3 linked regions of the Saccharomyces cerevisiae S288C genome follow. The protein of the gene in region 1 interacts with the protein of each later gene in a biochemical or structural test. Each region holds a gene or a part of one and is shown in the gene's direction. Other genes may lie near its edges.

Region 1 (8,309 bases):
TAGGCCAGAAACTTACTGAATCTACAGTAAATCATACTAATCATTCTGATGATGAACTCCCTGGACACCTCCTTCTCGATTCAGGAGCATCACGAACCCTTATAAGATCTGCTCATCACATACACTCAGCATCATCTAATCCTGACATAAACGTAGTTGATGCTCAAAAAAGAAATATACCAATTAACGCTATTGGTGACCTACAATTTCACTTCCAGGACAACACCAAAACATCAATAAAGGTATTGCACACTCCTAACATAGCCTATGACTTACTCAGTTTGAATGAATTGGCTGCAGTAGATATCACAGCATGCTTTACCAAAAACGTCTTAGAACGGTCTGACGGCACTGTACTTGCACCTATCGTAAAATATGGAGACTTTTACTGGGTATCTAAAAAGTACTTGCTTCCATCAAATATCTCCGTACCCACCATCAATAATGTCCATACAAGTGAAAGTACACGCAAATATCCTTATCCTTTCATTCATCGAATGCTTGCGCATGCCAATGCACAGACAAATTCGATACTCACTTAAAAATAACACCATCACGTATTTTAACGAATCAGATGTCGACTGGTCTAGTGCTATTGACTATCAATGTCCTGATTGTTTAATCGGCAAAAGCACCAAACACAGACATATCAAAGGTTCACGACTAAAATACCAAAATTCATACGAACCCTTTCAATACCTACATACTGACATATTTGGTCCAGTTCACAACCTACCAAAAAGTGCACCATCCTATTTCATCTCATTTACTGATGAGACAACAAAATTGCGTTGGGTTTATCCATTACACGACCGTCGCGAGGACTCTATCCTCGATGTTTTTACTACGATACTAGCTTTTATTAAAAACCAGTTTCAGGCCAGTGTCTTGGTTATACAAATGGACCGTGGTTCTGAGTATACTAACAGAACTCTCCATAAATTCCTTGAAAAAAATGGTATAACTCCATGCTATACAACCACAGCGGATTCCCGAGCACATGGAGTCGCTGAACGGCTAAACCGTACCTTATTAGATGACTGCCGTACTCAACTGCAATGTAGTGGTTTACCGAACCATTTATGGTTCTCTGCAATCGAATTTTCTACTATTGTGAGAAATTCACTAGCTTCACCTAAAAGCAAAAAATCTGCAAGACAACATGCTGGCTTGGCAGGACTTGATATCAGTACTTTGTTACCTTTCGGTCAACCTGTTATCGTCAATGATCACAACCCTAACTCCAAAATACATCCTCGTGGCATCCCAGGCTACGCTCTACATCCGTCTCGAAACTCTTATGGATATATCATCTATCTTCCATCCTTAAAGAAGACAGTAGATACAACTAACTATGTTATTCTTCAGGGCAAGGAATCCAGATTAGATCAATTCAATTACGACGCACTCACTTTCGATGAAGACTTAAACCGTTTAACTGCTTCATATCATTCGTTCATTGCGTCAAATGAGATCCAAGAATCCAATGATCTTAACATAGAATCTGACCATGACTTCCAATCCGACATTGAACTACATCCTGAGCAACCGAGAAATGTCCTTTCAAAAGCTGTGAGTCCAACCGATTCCACACCTCCGTCAACTCATACTGAAGATTCGAAACGTGTTTCTAAAACCAATATTCGCGCACCCAGAGAAGTTGACCCCAACATATCTGAATCTAATATTCTTCCATCAAAGAAGAGATCTAGCACCCCCCAAATTTCCAATATCGAGAGTACCGGTTCGGGTGGTATGCATAAATTAAATGTTCCTTTACTTGCTCCCATGTCCCAATCTAACACACATGAGTCGTCGCACGCCAGTAAATCTAAAGATTTCAGACACTCAGACTCGTACAGTGAAAATGAGACTAATCATACAAACGTACCAATATCCAGTACGGGTGGTACCAACAACAAAACTGTTCCGCAGATAAGTGACCAAGAGACTGAGAAAAGGATTATACACCGTTCACCTTCAATCGATGCTTCTCCACCGGAAAATAATTCATCGCACAATATTGTTCCTATCAAAACGCCAACTACTGTTTCTGAACAGAATACCGAGGAATCTATCATCGCTGATCTCCCACTCCCTGATCTACCTCCAGAATCTCCTACCGAATTCCCTGACCCATTTAAAGAACTCCCACCGATAAATTCTCATCAAACTAATTCCAGTTTGGGTGGTATTGGTGACTCTAATGCCTATACTACTATCAACAGTAAGAAAAGATCATTAGAAGATAATGAAACTGAAATTAAGGTATCACGAGACACATGGAATACTAAGAATATGCGTAGTTTAGAACCTCCGAGATCGAAGAAACGAATTCACCTGATTGCAGCTGTAAAAGCAGTAAAATCAATCAAACCAATACGGACAACCTTACGATACGATGAGGCAATCACCTATAATAAAGATATTAAAGAAAAAGAAAAATATATCGAGGCATACCACAAAGAAGTCAACCAACTATTGAAAATGAATACTTGGGACACTGACAAATATTATGACAGAAAAGAAATAGACCCTAAAAGAGTAATAAACTCAATGTTTATCTTCAACAAGAAACGTGACGGAACTCATAAAGCTAGATTTGTTGCAAGAGGTGACATTCAGCATCCTGATACGTACGATACAGGTATGCAATCCAACACTGTACATCATTATGCGTTGATGACATCCCTGTCACTTGCATTAGACAATAACTACTATATTACACAATTAGACATATCTTCGGCATATTTGTATGCAGACATCAAAGAAGAATTATACATAAGACCTCCACCACATTTAGGAATGAATGATAAGTTGATACGTTTGAAGAAATCACTTTATGGATTGAAACAAAGTGGAGCGAACTGGTACGAAACTATCAAATCATACCTGATAAAACAGTGTGGTATGGAAGAAGTTCGTGGATGGTCATGCGTATTTAAGAATAGTCAAGTAACAATTTGCTTATTCGTTGATGATATGATATTGTTCAGCAAAGACTTAAATGCAAATAAGAAAATCATAACAACACTCAAGAAACAATACGATACAAAGATAATAAATCTGGGTGAAAGTGATAACGAAATTCAGTACGACATACTTGGCTTAGAAATCAAATATCAAAGAGGTAAATACATGAAATTAGGTATGGAAAAATCCTTGACAGAAAAATTACCCAAACTAAACGTACCTTTGAACCCAAAAGGAAAGAAACTTAGAGCTCCAGGTCAACCAGGTCTTTATATAGACCAGGATGAACTAGAAATAGATGAAGATGAATACAAAGAGAAGGTACATGAAATGCAAAAGTTGATTGGTCTAGCTTCATATGTTGGATATAAATTTAGATTTGACTTACTATACTACATCAACACACTTGCTCAACATATACTATTCCCCTCTAGGCAAGTTTTAGACATGACATATGAGTTGATACAATTCATGTGGGACACTAGAGATAAACAACTGATATGGCACAAAAACAAACCTACCGAGCCAGATAATAAACTAGTCGCAATAAGTGATGCTTCGTATGGCAACCAACCGTATTATAAATCACAAATTGGCAACATATATTTACTTAATGGAAAGGTAATTGGAGGAAAGTCCACCAAGGCTTCATTAACATGTACTTCAACTACGGAAGCAGAAATACACGCGATAAGTGAATCTGTCCCATTATTAAATAATCTAAGTTACCTGATACAAGAACTTAACAAGAAACCAATTATTAAAGGCTTACTTACTGATAGTAGATCAACGATCAGTATAATTAAGTCTACAAATGAAGAGAAATTTAGAAACAGATTTTTTGGCACAAAGGCAATGAGACTTAGAGATGAAGTATCAGGTAATAATTTATACGTATACTACATCGAGACCAAGAAGAACATTGCTGATGTGATGACAAAACCTCTTCCGATAAAAACATTTAAACTATTAACTAACAAATGGATTCATTAGATCTATTACATTATGGGTGGTATGTTGGAATAGAAATCAACTATCATCTACTAACTAGTATTTACATTACTAGTATATTATCATATACGGTGTTAGAAGATGACGCAAATGATGAGAAATAGTCATCTAAATTAGTGGAAGCTGAAACGCAAGGATTGATAATGTAATAGGATCAATGAATATAAACATATAAAACGGAATGAGGAATAATCGTAATATTAGTATGTAGAAATATAGATTCCATTTTGAGGATTCCTATATCCTCGAGGAGAACTTCTAGTATATTCTGTATACCTAATATTATAGCCTTTATCAACAATGGAATCCCAACAATTATCTCAACATTCACCCATTTCTCAGAACCAACTATCTTCGATCAATTTGTATTAAAACTGCTAGCATATTATCATATATGATGTAAAAAGACGACATAAAGGTCGAGTAACAATCATCCGATATAACGGAAGCTGAAATCCGAGGATCGATAATATAGCATAATTACTTGTATGAACGATGCTAAAATATTTGTTCCTTCACATCTACACGTGGAAGTAAATGAACTGGATGTCAACAGTTTAGAAGAGCTTTTTTTTCGGTTCTGGTAAACATTCAATAAACTGTTTTGCTCCCACTAAATATAAATAAACATAATTATATGTCTAGTGATAAACAACTACTTTCCCGCTGAATGCATCAAAATATCAATGCAAATTTAAAAATTGTATTACACATATGTATGCTTCTGAAAAACCTTATAAATACATAAATTCTGAGAAAATAATTATACATGACTGATTCCCAGCTTAACCAAATCCAGCCCATTCTATTGAGAAGAAATGAGTTTCCTTTGTCTCTTCCGCAACACCGCCTATGACCCAAAGTTTTTTCACAGTCGTTCCTAGTCTTGCACCACTTATCATGGATATTAGGTCAATCGGCTCATTATGATAATCAATCGCATCTTGTATCGTCAGATGTGAATGGAAACGAAGAGGATCACCAGGGTATGCTATAAACTTCCCACCAAAACGTCCACCTGGGGACAAAACGTACCCTTGATCTCTCAATGCCTTGTATAAGAAATAGGTCTGCATTTTTCCTGCCTGTCTGTACTGCTTAAATAACAAATCACTGATATCATCGCGGGATAAGCTGTCTGAATCACTCCGTATGTCTCTTAAAATCATAGAGGTATTAGCAATGTCAATGAACAAAGAAGATTCAATTAGCTGGTCATTATTGCTAGATTTATCAAGCCGTTGCAATTCTTCAGCTGTGGTTTTATCATTGATTCTACCGATTTTCTTTAATTTTGCAATGTGTTCATCCTTTTTGAACTTTCTCTGATATTCAAATGACTTGTTCAAACGATCGTTGACAATTTTAGATAGTTTGGCGCCCCGCTCTAATGTTATTCCCTCCATAATCTCATCTCCCTCTTGTCTTATTAATTTCACATCGGCAAGATTGTTCAAATGCAGCCACAGCACATCTTCTAACATAAGCCTCAAAGGTACCGACAAAAATACATTTTGCTGTGCTGCAGTAGGCAAAGTTCCAGATAACACACCACAAATACCCCATTTCCTTAGAAGTTTGATGTGATCTATGTCAAATACTAGCGGTGGCATAAAAACCTCCTCGCCTTTTGCCGTTCTTTTTGCATATATGTTAATAGCTATGCGCGTACCACCTTCTTCAGCCATATACGAAAGGATCTATGCTAATTGGGTGGATTTCTTATCGCATCACTTTCTTATTCTCTAACTCTTCTTCGCTGCTCAATAAAATATCTCTGCTTGGAAAAATGTCACGCGTAAAAATTAGACGAGGCGACAAAAGACGCGTGAACTAACATAAAGGTTTACTTGAACAAATGTTATCACTTTAAGTTCTACACGTAAAACAAAAACTATTCACTCTTCTTATTACGGTAAAGGCGAAACCAGCAAGAAGACCAGATTATACTTACAAGAGATGAGCAGTGTTCAACTTTCGAGGGGCGATTTTCATAGCATCTTCACCAATAAGCAAAGGTACGATAATCCCACCGGTGGCGTTTATCAAGTTTATAACACCAGGAAATCTGATGGGGCTAACAGCAACAGAAAGAATTTGATCATGATTTCCGATGGTATTTACCATATGAAGGCTCTGTTGAGAAACCAAGCTGCATCCAAGTTCCAGTCAATGGAACTACAAAGGGGTGATATCATTCGCGTGATAATTGCAGAACCTGCTATTGTCAGGGAAAGAAAGAAATACGTTCTTTTAGTAGATGACTTTGAGTTGGTCCAGTCGCGTGCTGATATGGTCAACCAAACTAGTACTTTTTTGGATAACTATTTCTCAGAGCATCCAAATGAAACCTTAAAAGACGAAGATATAACTGACAGTGGTAATGTTGCCAATCAAACAAACGCCAGCAATGCTGGTGTCCCTGATATGCTGCATTCAAACTCAAACTTGAATGCAAATGAGAGAAAATTCGCCAATGAAAACCCTAATTCGCAAAAAACCAGACCAATTTTTGCCATCGAACAACTGTCTCCATACCAAAACGTTTGGACTATCAAAGCAAGAGTTTCCTACAAGGGAGAAATTAAAACGTGGCACAATCAAAGAGGTGATGGTAAACTATTCAATGTCAACTTCTTGGATACCTCTGGAGAAATCCGAGCCACGGCGTTTAATGATTTTGCTACAAAATTTAACGAAATTTTACAAGAAGGCAAAGTATACTATGTATCAAAGGCAAAACTCCAACCAGCTAAGCCCCAATTTACTAATCTAACACACCCTTATGAACTGAATTTGGATAGAGACACTGTTATAGAAGAATGTTTCGATGAAAGTAATGTTCCGAAAACCCATTTCAATTTCATCAAACTAGATGCTATTCAGAACCAGGAAGTAAATTCCAACGTAGACGTCCTCGGTATTATCCAAACTATAAACCCACATTTTGAGCTAACTTCAAGGGCTGGGAAGAAATTCGATCGTCGTGACATCACAATTGTTGACGACTCTGGGTTTTCTATCTCTGTTGGCCTATGGAATCAGCAAGCCCTTGATTTCAACCTTCCTGAAGGTTCTGTTGCTGCCATTAAAGGTGTTCGTGTGACGGATTTTGGTGGCAAATCTTTGTCTATGGGATTTTCTAGTACCCTGATTCCGAATCCAGAAATTCCTGAGGCATATGCCTTAAAGGGTTGGTATGATTCCAAGGGCCGCAACGCAAACTTCATCACTTTAAAGCAAGAACCCGGTATGGGTGGTCAATCGGCTGCTAGCTTAACAAAATTCATTGCTCAGCGTATTACTATTGCTAGAGCTCAAGCTGAAAATCTAGGAAGAAGCGAGAAAGGTGACTTTTTTAGTGTTAAAGCTGCTATAAGTTTCTTAAAAGTTGATAATTTTGCATATCCTGCCTGTTCTAATGAGAATTGTAATAAGAAAGTTCTGGAACAGCCTGATGGTACTTGGAGATGTGAGAAGTGCGACACCAATAATGCAAGGCCAAATTGGAGATACATCTTGACAATATCAATTATTGACGAAACCAATCAACTATGGCTCACTTTATTTGACGACCAAGCTAAACAATTATTGGGTGTTGATGCTAATACATTAATGTCTTTGAAGGAAGAAGACCCCAACGAATTCACAAAAATTACTCAAAGTATCCAAATGAACGAATATGACTTTAGGATTAGAGCGCGTGAGGATACATACAATGATCAAAGCAGAATTAGATATACCGTTGCTAACCTACACAGCTTGAATTACAGGGCTGAAGCCGACTATCTTGCCGATGAGTTATCCAAGGCTTTGTTAGCTTAATGTATCAAATAATCAAGTACTATTTAATCTATGTAACATATGAGAAATGTAAAAAAAAAACTTCTATTTCGTCAAGTTTTTGAAGGGCGGTTCAGCATCTCTTGATGACTGGATATGAAACTACACGTTCAGTCATATGAATTTGAACCCATAATGCACAAATGAATAAAAATGCTAACAAATTCTAATTAATGGCATGGTACTAACACCCAACAATTTACCGCCCTTTAGGTGTACAGCTTCAAATAACAAAGCTTTACAAATTCACCTTCAACATTTACGTTCAGTAGTATGAAATTACCATCATGACGTGCTCCTATCAAAGTGAGATTATTGCACTTCGTATTATTAGGAAATTACCAAAAAATGCAAAATTTTTCAATTCTGTGTCAAAGAAATCGCGGTAGGCATGACTATACCTCTTCAGTGTCAGTTGCCTATTTAAACTTTCTCCTTTTGAAGAGAAACCTATGATGACTGCATCTTAATTATCCTCGTAT
Region 2 (6,730 bases), on another chromosome or scaffold:
ACCATTTATGGCCTTCATTCACTGATGAACAATGGATCACTATCGAATCTCAAATGAGAGATTTGATTTTGACTGAGTACGGCAGAAAATACAATGTCAATATATCTGCCTTAACTCAAACGGAAATTAAAGATATTATATTGGGTCAAAATATCAAGGCACCATCTGTGAAGAGACAAAAAATGGCTGAATTAGAAGCTGCCAGGTCAGAAAAGCAGAACGACGAAGAAGCTGCAGGTGCATCAACTGTTATGAAAACTAAAACTATCAATGCGCAAGGTGAGGAGATAGTTGTAGTAGCTTCCGCTGATTACGAAAGTCAAACGTTTAGTTCAAAGAATGAATGGAGAAAATCTGCAATTGCTAATACACTATTATATTTGAGGTTAAAAAACATTTATGTTTCGGCTGATGATTTCGTGGAGGAACAGAATGTTTACGTCCTTCCAAAAAATTTATTAAAGAAGTTTATTGAGATATCCGATGTGAAAATCCAGGTGGCGGCCTTTATTTATGGTATGTCAGCAAAAGATCATCCGAAGGTGAAAGAAATCAAGACTGTTGTGCTGGTACCTCAATTAGGCCACGTAGGATCCGTTCAGATAAGCAACATCCCTGACATCGGAGACCTTCCGGATACTGAAGGCCTTGAACTACTCGGTTGGATCCATACCCAGACAGAAGAACTTAAATTCATGGCTGCGTCTGAAGTAGCAACTCATTCTAAACTTTTTGCGGATAAGAAAAGAGACTGCATTGATATTTCAATTTTTTCCACCCCGGGATCAGTATCATTAAGCGCTTATAACCTGACCGACGAAGGTTACCAATGGGGTGAAGAAAATAAGGATATAATGAACGTGCTATCGGAAGGGTTTGAGCCTACTTTCAGCACGCATGCCCAATTACTTCTCTCTGACCGTATCACAGGTAATTTTATAATTCCATCTGGAAACGTTTGGAACTACACATTTATGGGAACAGCATTTAACCAAGAAGGTGACTACAATTTTAAATACGGCATTCCTTTGGAATTCTATAATGAGATGCATCGTCCAGTACACTTTTTACAGTTTAGCGAATTGGCGGGGGACGAAGAGTTAGAGGCCGAACAAATCGATGTATTTAGCTGAATATATTCCCCAATAAACTGGAATCTGTTATTTCATAGATATATATGTAAGTATAAGTTTGTATGTATAATATTCAACGCATTTTTTATGCCCGTCGTAGTTGCTACCTACCACACGATGATGTATTATAATTTCGGAACTACTTCAAAGCTACGCTTTCCGCACTATGAAAAGCTATAAGTATGTGAAAATTGGTCATTGACTGTGATTCTATTTCAAAAAGTAACCAAAGGAGATAGACATCGTTCGGACAGAAAATGGTCCGTTGTCACTCCCATTCCATTATGTCCTTCATATAGAAATTGGATATTCTTGTTTTCATTTCGCGCAATAAAGCAATTCCGTGCGGCAGAAAGAACTTATATATATTTAACTGATCTTACGCTATTTATGGCAAAACTTGTGTTACATTTTTGAAGATAAAGTTACAATCATTACGGCAGCCTCAAAACAAAATTGGGAGAAAACATACTCAAGTGAGTACTCATTTTGTGCAAGCAAACACTGACAATTGAAGAGATCGTCAGGATGCCCGGAACGCCACAGAAGAACAAGAGGTCTGCGAGTATATCTGTTTCACCTGCGAAGAAGACAGAGGAAAAAGAAATAATACAAAATGATTCAAAGGCGATATTATCTAAGCAAACTAAGAGGAAAAAAAAGTATGCTTTTGCTCCTATAAATAACTTAAATGGGAAGAACACCAAGGTATCCAATGCAAGTGTCCTAAAGTCAATAGCCGTTTCACAAGTACGAAATACATCAAGAACAAAAGATATAAACAAAGCAGTTAGCAAGAGCGTAAAGCAATTACCAAATTCACAAGTTAAACCGAAACGGGAAATGTCTAATTTGAGTAGGCATCACGATTTCACTCAAGACGAGGACGGCCCCATGGAAGAAGTAATATGGAAATATTCACCTTTACAACGAGATATGTCCGACAAAACAACAAGCGCTGCCGAATACTCTGATGACTACGAAGATGTCCAAAATCCCTCTTCTACACCTATAGTCCCTAATCGACTGAAAACTGTTCTTAGTTTCACAAATATCCAAGTACCCAACGCTGACGTAAATCAACTCATTCAAGAAAATGGAAATGAGCAAGTGCGTCCTAAACCAGCAGAAATATCTACCAGGGAGTCTCTCCGTAATATAGATGATATTCTCGATGATATAGAGGGCGATTTAACTATAAAACCGACGATAACGAAATTCAGCGATTTGCCATCTTCACCCATCAAGGCACCCAACGTTGAAAAAAAAGCAGAGGTGAATGCAGAAGAAGTAGATAAAATGGATTCAACAGGAGATAGCAACGATGGCGATGACTCTTTGATAGATATTTTAACTCAAAAGTATGTTGAGAAACGCAAGAGTGAGAGTCAGATAACAATTCAAGGCAACACCAATCAAAAAAGTGGAGCCCAGGAAAGTTGTGGGAAGAATGATAACACAAAATCGAGAGGAGAAATTGAAGATCATGAAAATGTAGACAATCAAGCCAAAACAGGCAATGCATTTTATGAGAATGAAGAAGACAGTAATTGCCAAAGAATTAAAAAAAATGAAAAAATAGAATACAATTCTTCAGACGAATTTTCAGACGATTCACTAATTGAACTATTGAACGAAACTCAAACACAAGTGGAACCTAACACTATTGAACAAGATTTAGACAAAGTGGAGAAAATGGTCTCTGACGATTTGAGAATTGCTACTGATTCCACTTTATCCGCATATGCTCTCAGAGCTAAGTCTGGTGCTCCAAGAGACGGCGTAGTACGATTAGTAATAGTAAGCTTACGTAGTGTTGAATTGCCAAAAATTGGAACGCAAAAAATACTAGAGTGTATAGACGGCAAAGGCGAACAAAGTTCTGTTGTCGTTCGACATCCTTGGGTATATTTGGAATTTGAGGTTGGGGATGTAATACATATTATAGAAGGGAAAAATATTGAAAACAAACGGCTTCTTTCTGACGACAAAAACCCTAAAACTCAACTGGCTAACGACAACCTGTTGGTGCTAAACCCTGATGTATTATTTTCGGCAACATCAGTCGGAAGTTCAGTAGGTTGTTTAAGACGTTCAATTCTGCAAATGCAATTTCAAGATCCCCGCGGAGAACCAAGCCTTGTCATGACTTTAGGCAATATCGTACACGAGTTATTGCAAGACTCAATCAAATACAAGCTCTCGCATAATAAAATTTCTATGGAAATCATAATACAAAAGCTGGATTCTTTGTTAGAAACTTATTCTTTTTCAATTATCATTTGTAATGAAGAAATCCAGTACGTTAAAGAATTAGTTATGAAAGAACATGCTGAAAACATTTTGTACTTCGTCAATAAATTTGTTTCGAAAAGTAACTATGGTTGCTACACATCAATTTCCGGAACAAGAAGAACACAGCCAATTTCTATATCCAATGTGATTGATATTGAAGAAAACATTTGGTCTCCAATATATGGTCTTAAAGGGTTCCTAGATGCAACTGTTGAAGCTAATGTTGAAAACAATAAAAAACACATCGTTCCTTTAGAAGTGAAAACTGGAAAATCCAGAAGCGTTTCATACGAGGTTCAAGGCCTTATTTATACACTTCTGTTAAATGATCGCTATGAGATACCGATAGAGTTTTTTCTTCTTTATTTTACGAGGGATAAAAATATGACAAAGTTCCCTTCTGTTCTGCACTCCATTAAACATATTCTCATGTCCCGAAATAGAATGAGTATGAATTTTAAGCATCAACTCCAAGAGGTTTTCGGACAGGCTCAATCAAGGTTTGAATTACCACCCTTACTGCGCGATTCATCTTGTGATTCATGTTTCATCAAAGAATCATGCATGGTGTTGAATAAGCTACTAGAGGACGGGACACCAGAAGAAAGTGGCCTGGTAGAAGGTGAGTTTGAAATTTTGACAAACCATTTGTCGCAAAATCTCGCCAACTACAAAGAGTTTTTTACAAAATATAATGATCTAATAACTAAGGAGGAGTCAAGTATAACATGTGTAAATAAAGAACTTTTCTTATTGGATGGTTCCACAAGAGAATCCAGAAGTGGAAGGTGCCTTTCTGGCTTGGTTGTGTCAGAGGTGGTTGAACATGAAAAAACAGAGGGAGCGTATATATATTGCTTCTCAAGACGTAGAAATGATAATAACTCGCAGTCGATGTTATCATCTCAAATTGCTGCTAATGACTTTGTTATTATTAGTGATGAGGAGGGTCATTTTTGCTTGTGCCAAGGTCGTGTACAATTTATAAATCCCGCTAAAATTGGTATCTCCGTAAAACGAAAGTTATTAAACAATAGGCTTCTAGATAAGGAAAAAGGAGTCACTACCATCCAAAGTGTGGTCGAATCAGAGCTAGAACAATCCAGTCTCATAGCTACCCAAAATTTGGTCACATATAGAATCGACAAAAATGATATCCAACAGAGTTTGTCTTTAGCGCGATTTAATCTTTTAAGCTTGTTTTTACCAGCTGTTTCACCTGGCGTGGATATTGTTGACGAAAGGAGTAAATTATGTCGGAAGACAAAGAGATCTGATGGAGGTAATGAAATACTGCGATCACTTTTAGTTGATAATAGAGCACCTAAGTTTAGAGATGCAAATGATGATCCCGTCATTCCGTATAAGCTTTCAAAGGATACAACATTGAACTTGAATCAAAAAGAAGCAATAGACAAAGTAATGAGGGCCGAAGATTATGCATTGATATTGGGAATGCCAGGGACTGGTAAGACTACTGTTATCGCAGAAATTATTAAAATTCTCGTTTCCGAGGGGAAACGCGTGCTTTTGACATCATACACACATTCAGCAGTGGATAATATTTTAATAAAATTGAGGAACACCAACATTAGCATAATGAGATTGGGAATGAAACATAAGGTCCATCCTGACACGCAAAAATATGTCCCGAATTACGCGTCAGTGAAAAGTTATAACGATTATTTGTCCAAAATTAACAGCACCTCTGTTGTTGCTACCACCTGCTTAGGAATTAACGATATACTATTTACACTAAATGAAAAGGATTTTGATTATGTGATTTTGGACGAGGCAAGTCAAATTTCAATGCCTGTCGCTTTGGGACCTCTGCGGTATGGAAATAGGTTTATTATGGTAGGAGATCATTACCAGCTACCGCCATTAGTTAAAAATGACGCAGCTCGATTAGGTGGGTTAGAAGAGTCACTGTTCAAGACTTTCTGTGAAAAGCATCCGGAAAGCGTTGCAGAACTGACTTTACAGTACCGTATGTGCGGCGATATTGTAACTTTGTCTAATTTCCTAATTTATGATAATAAATTAAAATGCGGGAATAACGAAGTTTTTGCTCAATCTTTAGAGTTACCAATGCCTGAGGCCTTGTCGCGCTATAGGAATGAATCGGCTAACTCTAAGCAGTGGCTTGAGGATATACTAGAGCCTACAAGAAAAGTGGTATTTTTAAATTACGATAACTGCCCGGATATTATCGAACAAAGCGAAAAGGATAACATTACGAATCACGGGGAGGCAGAATTGACTCTACAATGTGTGGAAGGAATGTTATTGAGCGGCGTACCATGCGAAGATATTGGTGTAATGACGTTATACAGAGCACAGTTAAGATTACTGAAGAAGATATTCAACAAAAATGTGTATGACGGGCTAGAGATCTTGACTGCTGATCAGTTTCAAGGTCGTGACAAAAAGTGCATTATTATTTCCATGGTTAGAAGAAATTCTCAATTAAATGGAGGAGCGCTGCTGAAAGAGCTAAGAAGAGTCAATGTTGCCATGACAAGGGCCAAATCCAAGCTGATCATTATAGGTTCAAAAAGTACAATCGGCTCTGTTCCTGAAATAAAATCGTTCGTGAACCTGTTAGAAGAGCGTAATTGGGTCTATACAATGTGCAAGGATGCACTCTACAAATACAAATTTCCCGACAGATCAAACGCTATTGATGAGGCACGCAAAGGTTGTGGAAAAAGAACAGGTGCCAAACCCATCACATCAAAGTCTAAATTCGTAAGCGATAAACCTATCATAAAGGAAATTCTACAAGAGTATGAAAGTTGACAGGGGGAATAAGAAGAGCTTCTCCATAACAGGAAAGCTATCACAGCATAAAATATCTATGTCATTTTATAAAGTTTGGTATATATAACACGTAATATTAGCATCTGAGGTTCGAAAGCTCGCATGTGTGTCTTTTCTAAAAAGTTTTCGTTTGAACTTTTCCAAAAGCTTCCTCATTAACGAACCAGGATGTTTTTTCACCAAATAATTTGTTAACCAATGCGGTTGGCAATTGATCGTTTTTCAAGTCAAAGATCTCATGCATTATATTTTGTTTGGAACTGCCCTCAGCCACAAAACACAGGGCTTTGGCGTCTTTCAACACAGGCAGAGTGAAGGTGATTCTGTCACTTGGAGGCTTGGGAGAATCGTGGCACCAAGCAACTCTTTTGGTTGTTTCGTTCAGCAAGTACCTATGTGTTTCTCCAGGGAATAAGGAACAAGTGTGTCCATCAGGACCACAGCCCAACAGTACCAAATCAAGCACTTGAGGTACGATA
Region 3 (2,958 bases), on another chromosome or scaffold:
CTGCTGAGAACTTTTTAGGAACAGAAGTGAAAGATGCTGTAGTAACGGTTCCAGCCTATTTCAACGATTCACAAAGGCAAGCAACAAAAGATGCCGGTACAATCGCGGGCTTGAACGTTCTTCGTATCATTAATGAACCTACAGCTGCCGCTATTGCGTATGGGCTGGACAAGAAATCGCAGAAGGAGCACAACGTCTTGATCTTTGATTTAGGTGGTGGTACTTTTGATGTCTCTCTGCTATCCATAGATGAAGGTGTCTTTGAGGTTAAGGCTACTGCTGGTGACACTCACTTGGGTGGTGAAGATTTCGATAGTAGGCTGGTTAACTTTCTAGCCGAGGAGTTCAAAAGAAAAAATAAAAAGGATCTAACAACTAACCAAAGGTCCCTAAGGAGGTTAAGGACCGCCGCTGAAAGGGCCAAGAGAACTCTGTCTTCGTCTGCTCAGACATCTATAGAAATAGATTCATTATTTGAGGGTATCGATTTCTATACTTCCATTACAAGGGCAAGATTTGAAGAATTATGTGCTGATTTGTTTAGATCTACATTGGAGCCAGTGGAAAAAGTTTTGGCTGATTCAAAATTAGATAAGTCACAAATTGATGAAATTGTACTTGTTGGTGGTTCAACAAGAATTCCAAAAGTACAAAAACTGGTTTCTGATTTTTTCAATGGTAAAGAACCAAACCGTTCGATTAACCCTGATGAGGCCGTCGCTTATGGTGCTGCCGTACAGGCTGCCATCTTAACGGGTGACCAGTCGTCGACGACCCAAGATTTACTGTTGCTGGATGTTGCACCATTATCTCTAGGTATTGAAACTGCAGGTGGTATTATGACAAAGTTGATCCCAAGAAATTCGACTATCCCAACAAAAAAATCGGAAGTGTTTTCCACCTACGCTGACAACCAACCTGGTGTGTTGATACAAGTTTTTGAGGGTGAAAGGACAAGGACAAAAGACAACAATCTACTGGGTAAATTTGAGTTGAGCGGTATTCCACCCGCTCCAAGAGGCGTACCACAAATTGAAGTTACATTTGATATCGATGCAAATGGTATTCTGAACGTATCTGCCGTTGAAAAAGGTACTGGTAAATCTAACAAGATTACAATTACTAACGATAAGGGAAGATTATCGAAGGAAGATATCGATAAAATGGTTGCTGAGGCAGAAAAGTTCAAGGCCGAAGATGAACAAGAAGCTCAACGTGTTCAAGCTAAGAATCAGCTAGAATCGTACGCGTTTACTTTGAAAAATTCTGTGAGCGAAAATAACTTCAAGGAGAAGGTGGGTGAAGAGGATGCCAGGAAATTGGAAGCCGCCGCCCAAGATGCTATAAATTGGTTAGATGCTTCGCAAGCGGCCTCCACCGAGGAATACAAGGAAAGGCAAAAGGAACTAGAAGGTGTTGCAAACCCCATTATGAGTAAATTTTACGGAGCTGCAGGTGGTGCCCCAGGAGCAGGCCCAGTTCCGGGTGCTGGAGCAGGCCCCACTGGAGCACCAGACAACGGCCCAACGGTTGAAGAGGTTGATTAGATAAATACAAAGATGCGATGAAGTAGCAGCATCGAATTTCTTAGTTTTCCCTCTTAACAACTTTTTATAAGTATATATATAAGATACACAATCAGTAATTAGCAAATGACTACTATTTGTACGTTCTCATCGTCATAAGCCAGAGTTTAATTAAGTGCCTCAACCGGGATGCGATTTCGCGTTCATATACAAAGCCGAAATGACAATAAGAAAGTCATCGCCAAACAACACGACTAATTGACCATTAAAAGGAACAAAATACAGTCAAAGAGTTTAGCTCGGAAATGTACAGCAATCATAATTTAAATTCGGATGACTGTTGCTTCGATTGGAATGAAGAGAAGGCCGCAGAACTACAGCGTACAGGTGTTTCTTTTGACCGGAGTTTAACACCTCAATCTTTAAGAACATCTACACGTAGACTATCAGAAGAGAACAAACAACAAAGTGGCACTATGCACATTGACACTTCCCCTTCTGTGGTTTCAGATATAATATCAAGTAGACGAGATCGTTCACAGGATTTTTTTGGGCCTCATTCTTCATCCCCTATTGCCCCTTCAGAACGACAACGAGCGGATCAGAGATCACGGTTGGAGTCCATGAGATTAACTAGACGTCGAGACAAAATGACCAAAGTACGCGGTGGCCTAGAAAAGATGGAAGAAATGATCATGCAAGGTGAACACCTTAGAGAAATGCAAAGGCTAAAGCAGGAAGCACAAAAGAACGCTCTACCCTCTGACATGGCTGAATATATGGAATGGCAAAACAACGAGGATTTGGAAGACGATGAGTTGCTTGCCTTTATTGAAAAACAGGAAACTTATAAAAATGAATTAGAACACTTTTTGAACAATGCTAATAAAAATGTTTATGAGAACAACTCGTATCCGAACTCTCATACGTGATGGCATCATTGCTATTACAGAAATAGCCCTAGCCTGTCATATTTAACTGAGCTGTTGAGTATGGGCATCTTTCCGCATGCGCTAACTACGGAGCTGGCTCTTCCCCTTCTATTAATCCTTCTGGCAGGAAGCGAAAGCGACTGATGTCGTTTCTACGTTTCTATGTATATTCTATCGCGTTTAAGTGTGTATATTTTGAGCTGCTCAAGTGAAGGGAACGTATTCAGAATAACTAGATTCTCTGCCATACGATCAACTAACTGTTTACCATATACAGTCTCAGTTCGCTACGGTTAGCGTACCGTAAAACAGCAGTTTACATTCACTATATAAAGGATGACGTAAGAATTTGCCTACGTATTAAAGAAAACTTCACAATCAAACTGCTAAAATATACAAATAATTCCGTTCATTTCAGGCCATGATGACGATCCTTCACATAATCTTGAACGGGATCGGTATTCGGATCATATTTCTCCAATTTTTTGATTTGTTCTGGC

What was found. Proteins that work in one complex are often made in the same cells at the same time.
Region 2: the proteins of RFA1 (region 1) and DNA2 form a complex in vitro, tested with the Saccharomyces cerevisiae proteins (3 studies listed by BioGRID, with this or other methods).
Region 3: the proteins of RFA1 (region 1) and RTT105 form a complex in vitro, tested with the Saccharomyces cerevisiae proteins (4 studies listed by BioGRID).

What each region holds. Positions count from the first base shown.
Region 1 is NC_001133.9:156,254-164,562, reverse strand, and holds RFA1 (replication factor A subunit protein RFA1), read left to right. Parts: upstream 1-5,943; coding exon 5,944-7,809; downstream 7,810-8,309. Other genes in the region: YAR010C (gag protein), read left to right, coding at 1-19; YAR009C (truncated gag-pol fusion protein), read left to right, coding at 376-3,966; tRNA splicing endonuclease subunit SEN34, read right to left, coding at 4,770-5,597; COMPASS subunit protein SWD1, read right to left, coding at 8,278-8,309. UniProt on the Saccharomyces cerevisiae protein: As part of the replication protein A (RPA/RP-A), a single-stranded DNA-binding heterotrimeric complex, may play an essential role in DNA replication, recombination and repair.
Region 2 is NC_001140.6:424,110-430,839, reverse strand, and holds DNA2 (bifunctional ATP-dependent DNA helicase/ssDNA endodeoxyribonuclease DNA2), read left to right. Parts: upstream 1-1,661; coding exon 1,662-6,230; downstream 6,231-6,730. Other genes in the region: U4/U6-U5 snRNP complex subunit PRP8, read left to right, coding at 1-1,133; 6-phosphogluconolactonase SOL3, read right to left, coding at 6,367-6,730. UniProt on the Saccharomyces cerevisiae protein: Key enzyme involved in DNA replication and DNA repair.
Region 3 is NC_001137.3:364,971-367,928, forward strand, and holds RTT105 (Rtt105p), read left to right. Parts: upstream 1-1,831; coding exon 1,832-2,458; downstream 2,459-2,958. Other genes in the region: Hsp70 family chaperone SSA4, read left to right, coding at 1-1,547; NUP157 (Nup157p), read right to left, coding at 2,868-2,958. UniProt on the Saccharomyces cerevisiae protein: Involved in regulation of Ty1 transposition. Inhibits Ty1 transposition at a post-transcriptional and pre-integrational stage of the Ty1 retrotransposition cycle.